Coturnix japonica: one gene and its partner. The protein of the gene in region 1 purifies or fractionates together with the protein of each later gene. This does not show direct contact. Links are inferred from orthologs where the notes say so. Each region holds a gene or a part of one and is shown in the gene's direction. Other genes may lie near its edges.

The links.
Region 2: the proteins of L3MBTL1 (region 1) and ANAPC1 purify together in Homo sapiens (affinity purification with mass spectrometry; 4 studies listed by BioGRID and IntAct, counting the BioPlex papers as one, with this or other methods). This does not show direct contact. The link is inferred for Coturnix japonica from reciprocal best matches to the Homo sapiens genes L3MBTL1 and ANAPC1.

Annotation. Positions count from the first base shown.
Region 1 is NC_029535.1:4,482-8,298, reverse strand, and holds part of L3MBTL1 (lethal(3)malignant brain tumor-like protein 1), read left to right. Parts: intron 1-366; coding exon 367-564; intron 565-867; coding exon of another isoform or gene 868-884; coding exon 885-931; coding exon of another isoform or gene 932-976; exon of another isoform or gene 977-1,008; intron 1,009-1,871; coding exon 1,872-2,029; intron 2,030-2,938; coding exon 2,939-3,001; intron 3,002-3,817. UniProt on the Homo sapiens protein: Polycomb group (PcG) protein that specifically recognizes and binds mono- and dimethyllysine residues on target proteins, thereby acting as a 'reader' of a network of post-translational modifications.
Region 2 is NC_029518.1:4,569,854-4,573,670, forward strand, and holds part of ANAPC1 (anaphase-promoting complex subunit 1), read left to right. Parts: intron 1-913; coding exon 914-1,179; intron 1,180-2,442; coding exon 2,443-2,534; intron 2,535-3,397; coding exon 3,398-3,537; intron 3,538-3,817. UniProt on the Homo sapiens protein: Component of the anaphase promoting complex/cyclosome (APC/C), a cell cycle-regulated E3 ubiquitin ligase that controls progression through mitosis and the G1 phase of the cell cycle.

The DNA of each region.
Region 1 (3,817 bases):
ACCTGCTTAGTCACAGTCATGGCACATGCCTTACTCTGAGGCTAATTTTAATGCTTGTGAGGAAGCACTCCTACGAACCCCACTGATGTGCTTGATCAGCATTCTGCTGACTTGCACAGGGTGGCTGTGATGCCAGTGGACAAGATAGGACAGGTGTTCATACCTGGAGGGACTGGATTTGCCGTATCTATGAACCCATGCAGCTATCACCATGACTCCAGGGAATGTGATCAGCAAGTCTTTACTATGCTTTGTTTGACCAGGGTTATGGCTTCCAGCATTTGGTGTCATAGGGTGGTCCCAAGCCAGGTTCACCCACTCTTGCCTCATGCTTTGTCCAACTCTCACTTGCCCTCTGTTCTCCAGGAAGTGCCCCACGCCGGGCTGTGATGGATCAGGACATGTGACAGGGAGATTCACAGCACACTACTGCCTCTCAGGGTGCCCTCTGGCAGAGAAGAACCAGGGCAGGCTTAAGGCAGACTTGTCTGATACTGAGGCCTCAACTCGCAAGAGGAACCTGATTGGCTTCTCTCAGCGGAAGAAATCTCGGCACCATGGGAGGTAGGGGCAAGCCTGTGTGGAGCCACTGGGCTACACATAGCATCCGTAGGATGGATGGTTGAGTTGGAGAGACTCCTTGCCTGCAGGGGAGCATGCTTGCTGACAGCTGGTGTTTGTTATTGCAGCTCTTATTTAGTGACCTTGGACACCTCTCCTATTTGTTTTTTCTATTCACATTGTGTTTCTTTGGCTGTCAACCCTTTTTGTCAGGGTCTGAGGGTAAGCCTTGCTCCTACTGTCAAGGCATTGCTCTGTGCAGTGTGGTGGAGGGCCCTTAGCCAGTTCCAACACAAGTGAAATCAGTTTTCCTTTATCTTTAGAGGGCGACCTCCAAAGTACCGGAAGATCCAGCAGGAAGATTTCCAGAGTAAGTGCGCTCCTCTGCCATGGTGTTATTGCAGAACAGGGGTAAGACTTGAGGAGCTGGAGTGGTGGCTGGCAGAGGTATGTCTCTCCTTGGCTTGCTCAGTTAGTCCTTGCACAGGTCAGCACCAGGCTGAGGGCTGTGTAGACCTCATGATGTCAAAACCATCTAACAAGGGATGTCCATGACTCTTATCAGAACTCTGCTAGGTCCCTCATCACTTCTCTTGAATAGTATCTATGAATCTTTGAATGCTTTGGGGCAGGGAATTGGGACCCAATCTCTTTGGCTGTGCATTTTTCCAGGCACTTTGTCTTCTTCAGCCAGAGGTGCTGTGCCTTCATCCTATCAGTGCTATACCCCAAATCCTCAGTGTGATGTGCCACACTACTGCAGAACAGAACCTGTTGCTGAACATTTTGTTTGGCATCTAGTTCTGATGGTTGGCATGGGATATAAGTGGCTGTGGGGTGGTAAGGCATTTTCTCCAGCCAGTATTGATTTTACCATAGGCTGGCTTGGTGTTCAGCCCATCACTGAAGGTGAATGAAGGTCTCTTTTTGGAAGCCATCATTGGCTCATTAGACTAAGGCTTAAAGTTTTGTTTTAAACCTAAATTTAGTTGAATGATAAGGGATAGTATTCTGGTGTGAAATTTGAATTGAAATTTATCTCAGCATGAAGGACTGAAGAGAACAAGGCAAAGTCAGCCTGGTCTCTGAACTTCCCTCACCATCCCCCGTCCCACCATATTGAATGCCAATGAATCATTAACCTGTTAATTCAAAGGACAGCCACTAGCCCTTGATAACATGACCCCATGAGACCATCTGCTCCCAGCCCCAGGTCCTCTCCTGAACAGAGTCTTCTCCAAGGCTTGTAGAATGGAATAGGATGTTCTCATCCCCCTTCTTTATATCATATCTTACGTTTTTATTGGCAGCTATTTCTTCAGACAACATGCACCAGTCACTCTTCATGTCTGCCCTGTCTGCCCATCCTGACCGCTCTCTATCTCTATGTTGGGAGCAGCACTGCAAACTCCTACCAGGAGTGGCTGGCATCACAGCAACCACAGTAGCCAAATGGACAACTGATGAGGTAAGATGGTTTTGGAGTGTGTGTGCTGGTTCCTAACCCACTGGCGTGACTGGGAGAACTTGAGCTGGCTGGGCAGCACCATGATACACATCCCAGGCACAGAACAGTGGCCTTTTCCCTGGGCTAATGAGGTGTGGACAGCTGTCAGTCGCATGCCCTGGTGGCAGTGGCTTGGGAAGAATATGTAGAACTACCAGATTCTTCCTTGGCTTGAATGCAATGCTAGCAGGGCAGGCAGTGAAGGACAACAGTCTTCATTTAGCATACCAGTTTTCCAAATCAGTTTTCTCTTTTCTAAATAATAAAAAAACAAAACAAAACAAGACAAAACAAACAAGCAAAAAACCTCCCATAGACTTTGCAAATGGGGAATCGCTTCCCTCTCTCTCCTGTGATGAAATATTTACTTCTGATTCATACTCATCACTCTCATTCACTTTCTTTGGTATCAGTAGTGGCCTCTCTTGAAGACTGGGTAGCTGGACCTCTGACACTGTACTGGCAGCCCCAGCACCCAGCTCTGCCTGATTTCCCATTCCTCCTGTGCACGCCACTTCTCTCCCAGTCCCTCGGTGGGAATCGTATTGTTGGTCTGGAGATGGCTTATTGGAGATAAAGCTATTGTAGCACTTGCTACTCTGAGGCTGGAAAGGACCAGCACCCATGCTGTTTGTTGTGCAGGCTATGTCTTGGATGGGTTCCGCTGAACAAGCTTTGAGGCAAAAATTGTTCCAGCTTCTTACACCCAGGTCAGGAGTGGCATAGGAGAATGCAGCACTTTGCCCTACCAGGCATGGGTTAACTTAAAGGAGTCATAAAGCTTCTGTGGAAATGAGGATGTGATCTTGTGGGGTGTCACCAGACAGAAACATTGCTTCCATCTTGACATTTCTTTCTGTTTATTCCAAGGTCTTTAGCTTTGTTCAAACTCTGACGGGTTGTGAGGACCAAGCCAAGCTCTTCAAAGATGAGGTGAGAAGGTCTGGAGGATGAATGCAGCTGCCCAAAACAGCTGTTTGCCAACAGAGGAGGAAAAAATTGATCACTGGCCTTCCTTTGGTGGCTTTGCTGCTGAATGTCTAGAGCACATCCACCACCTGGCAGTGATTCCCACCCTGGGGGCAGCAGTTGCATGGCATTCCAGTGTGCAGCTGTCTGCCCTTGCAGGCAGTGGCAAGAGGGAGATTCTGGATTCTGTCCATATCAAGTTGTGCTTCCCTCTTCCCTTGGCCTGAGTGAAGAAGGGTCCCTCTGAGGAGGCTGAGACTGGTGAGCAGGAGGAGGGTGCTGCAGCTTCATAGAATCACAGAACTGCTCAGATTGAAAAAGACCTTAAAGATCATCAAGTCCAACCACAACCTAACCATACTACCCTAACTAACAACCCTCCACTCAATCATGTCCCTGAGCACCACATCCAGATGGTTTTTAAACACATCCAGGGATGGTGACTCTCCCTGGGGAGCCTATTCCAGTGCTTAACAACCCATTCTGTAAAGAAATTCTTCCTGATATCCAAACTAAACCTCCTCTGGTGCAACGTGAGGCCATTTCCCCTCCTCCTGTCATCTGTCACCAGTGAGAAGAGACCAACCTCACTCTGCTGCAATCACTTTTCAGTGATTGCACTGTGGGTGGCTCTTGCCAAGCTCCATATGAGCAGGGGGGAGGCTGTGGTGGGCTGCCAGAAGTGAATGTGATTGTATGCATCTCCAGAGTGCCTGCACTGTCTGTCTGTAGGATGTCGCAGCCTGGGTTGTCGATGAATGCCTTAAGTCCCTACTCTCC
Region 2 (3,817 bases), on another chromosome or scaffold:
TCTGATCTGGACTCACCAGGGATTGCAAGCCTGTGGGGGAAGGAAAGCTGTTTTGCACTGTGCTGCGTCTGTATCATGTGACCTTTTCTTGTCAGGTCCCAATTTCAGAGAAGTTAGATTCAGGAATGAATTTAACATGAATTACAAAGCAACACGTTGCAGTTTTTTGACTGCCAAATAGACAACATATAGACAACAAATAGAACATATAGAACATCCTAGATGTTCTATCCCCTTAAAAAAAAGTTGGCTTACTCTCTCCTCCACTCAGCACCTTCAGCAAGTTAAGAGCATCAAATTACATGCTCCACTGAATGCACTGGTTCTTTCTGAATTTAGCAGTGTGTTCAAGATTGATTCACCAGGTTTTGCCTAGGTAAGAGTAGGAAGGTTGTTCTCTAACATAGTCAAGCAATGAAGTGGATAAGGCTTACTAGCATTCCACTGTAAGAAGCTTACAAGCTACAGTGGTACAATTGTGCCACTAGGTTTTGTAGGTTGGCAGCTCAGTGAACCCATGGGGCTTACAGGCTGCAATCTGTATGAAACAGGTTAAGATGTAAATGCCCAACATGCTGTGATGGAAGTAGAAAAAAGGCTGGGGGCACTATGTGAATTACAGCACGGCGCCACACAGAATTATTAGTGCAAAGAAGGCACTTCAAATCAGTTTCCATCTCTCTGTTTTCTTAAATGTTAATGCTTTGATTCATTTTATGCATAACTGGAGGAAGGATGGGAAGATACAGTGTAACGATTGAATCTGTGCAATGTAGCTTGCAGGGTTTGTGTGGCACCTTAACGGTGTTTGTACTGGTTGTGGGGAAGACCCCTCTGCAGTGGTGCCATGGAGTTCTTTTGCTGAAAGTCTGTTCATTGTTTGTTGCCTCTTTCTCCTATTTGCTTTGTCTAGGACTGGGAATATCTCTTGAGCTCTGATTACCACAGAAATTTTGAGTCTCATCCTCTATCCAAAGTCTTGGGATTGGACCCTCTGGAAGTTTTAGCTCCAAAGGATGACTTCTTACAGAGCCTTAGCCTGGATTATTCAACTCTCCTTTTCACCCATATTCCTGCTATTTTCTTTGTTCTTCATCTGGTCTATGAGGAGTTCAAACTGAACCTTCTGATGGGAGAAGAGAATCGGTCACTTGTTGTTCTTCTGGTTCAGCTGGCCAGGTATGCCAAACCAACAAATCACAGGTGCTGTATGTTGTGTAGTATCTCTTGATGTTATTGTTTTGGGGATTACCCAAAGTGTGAACAGACTTTCATATTTCTGAAGAAAATGAATAATAACAGTTGAAGATATTTGTTATAGGAAATCTCTTGTATAGTCCTGACCACTTACCAGCATAAGCATGACTCACAAATAGTAGTTCTTGGTAGATGGCTTTTGCTCCTGCAATACAAGAAAAGGGAGAGGGAGGAAGTCTACTCAACAGATGTTATACATCATAGAGTGCAGACAGAAGTAAAAACACCTTGTTGACTTTCAGTGCTCAGTTGCTCAGATAAAAGTGTTCTTCATTTAGTGATTTCTTGCTGGTGGTGGTAGGTGTTTGTTTTGCTTTAAAACATAACCAGAATCTCATCTCGGTTCTGGTTTTACATGACCTTACCGTTTAGATCATGATAAGAAACACAGTACTTGCTTTTCATGCTGTGTTGCCTCCCTGGCAGCTGAAATTGTGTACCCGGGACAGCTCGCATTTTTGTCTACTGCATTGACTAAGCTCACAAGATTTATCAAATATTCATCTTTGTGGTGTTTTTACTGCAGCCAGTGACTGCATCCTTACATCTTCCACCCTCACATTGAGATTGCATTGCATATGTATAGACACACATGCGTACAATTATCTGTATAAGCAAAAGACTCAGTAAAGCCTCTCCAAGTTTTATTTGATATTTCTACCAAAATCTCTTTGGCTATAGATTCTTCCCCTGGCACTGCAGTTGGTTGACTGGAGTAGTTTCCAGAAGTAGCCCCTAGTCCTGGGAAGATTGAACTGTGCATTATCCTGTCATGCCAATGAAAAGCAACTCTGTGATGAAATGCTGTGTATCTGTTGTGGCTGGAAGCTGTTGTTTGCATTCGCATCTTGCAGATAAACTCAGCTTGTTATCTAACTTTTTAACATTTGGAAGTTTGGGAATGTTGTAGTGACAGTTGCTATGCTGTAAGTGGTGGTGGTGTGGCACAAAGCAGAACTACAGCTGGAAAGTAGTGCACTGGGGGGAAATAAAGCATGCAGGTTACTTGCTTTGCAAAGGGGCAATGCCCATAAGCAACTCTAGTTAAAGAAGTCAGAGCTTCACCCCTTGTATCTGATGTTTATTACGAATATTAAAAGTAAATAGAAAATGTCAGAAATGGAAGAAGGCGTGGAGTTTTCTTTTTGTTTTTCACTGTATGATGATTCACATCTTTCATTCTAGGGACTTGAAACTTGAAGCTTATATAGATTACTACTACCGAGACTATCCAGCCCTTGTAAAAAGCTCTGGACAGACTTGCATAATTGATCAAGGTGAGTTTTTAAGGCTATGTGAAGCGAGTGCTCAATGGTATTGGTGTGTAAGTTCTCTTAATACTGAGCATGTTGATAGCTGGATAGGACTTAAACCAAATGTGAAACTGTGCATGGGTTGTCTCGTTCCTTTGTCTTTAAAAGTCTGTTAGAACCCTGCAGTGACAAGCTGATGCCTTCAGTGTAGTGCTTCATGAGATGTTTCACAGCAAGGACCTGGGAGAAAGTTGATGGTTTTATTTCAGCAAACTCCTAGCTCAGGCTGGCTGAGAAGTATTTGTGGAGAGCTATGGAAAAACCTGGTAATGAGGTGTGCTTCTGCTGCAAGCTCTCAGTTTATAGTCCTTTAAAATGAAATCAGAGCTCAAAGCACAATGATGAAAGCTAAAATAAGATCACTTATTTTTTTGTGCATCTGTTTAATGTACTACCAGCTGAAATTTGCTGGTCACGCAAAACAAAATACTCTTTTTCCTGGCACAAAAAATATAATCTCATCATATTGGTCAGGCTTTGCCATTTGTGTTTGTGAATAGGGAGGACAAAGAGGTTATAGTTAGGCTGCTCTCTCACTTAGTGATTTGATGTTTAAGGACAAGACTGTTCCCCTGAGGTTTTTGAAAATTAGAAATTACATACGTTACTTTTCACAGTAGGTTGATACTTCCTTAAAAGACACAAAGATGTTTCATTCTTTCATTACAGTCTAGCCATAAGCTTGCATCTGACAGAAGGCAGATGTGATCCATAATGCTTTGAAATACCAGAAATGGTGTAGGGTTTGTTTTGAGAACAGAAAACAGTTTTTGTGCATTTGCCATGAATGTGGTGTCAAGACTGTTCGTGCCATTAAATCCAAACAGGTTTCATGCATCATCCCGCATTTTTTTCTGCTGAGCCTCCAAGTATCTTTCAGTGGCTGAGTTCCTGTCTAAAGGGAGGAAGTGTTCAGCCTTATCCTTACTTACCAGGAATCTGTGAAAGGAGCAAGCTGGTAATACTGGTATGTACGCTGGCAAAGATAACGTGTTTTCCTCTATCAGCGTAACAACTCTGTGGCCACGGTTTGTTCTAGCTGCTTAATTTCCTGTGAGTGAAGTGCCCTCAATGGGAAGTCAAATGATGAAAAGTCTGTCACGTGTAAAGCAGTAGGAGCACGCTGGAGCAGTACTGAGACTGGGATGAATGACTGCAGAGGAGCACAGCTGTAGCTGTACTGTTTGGACATCTTAAGCATCTCCAGGTGTTTCTGCACTATACTAAACAGGACTCATTTGTCTGCA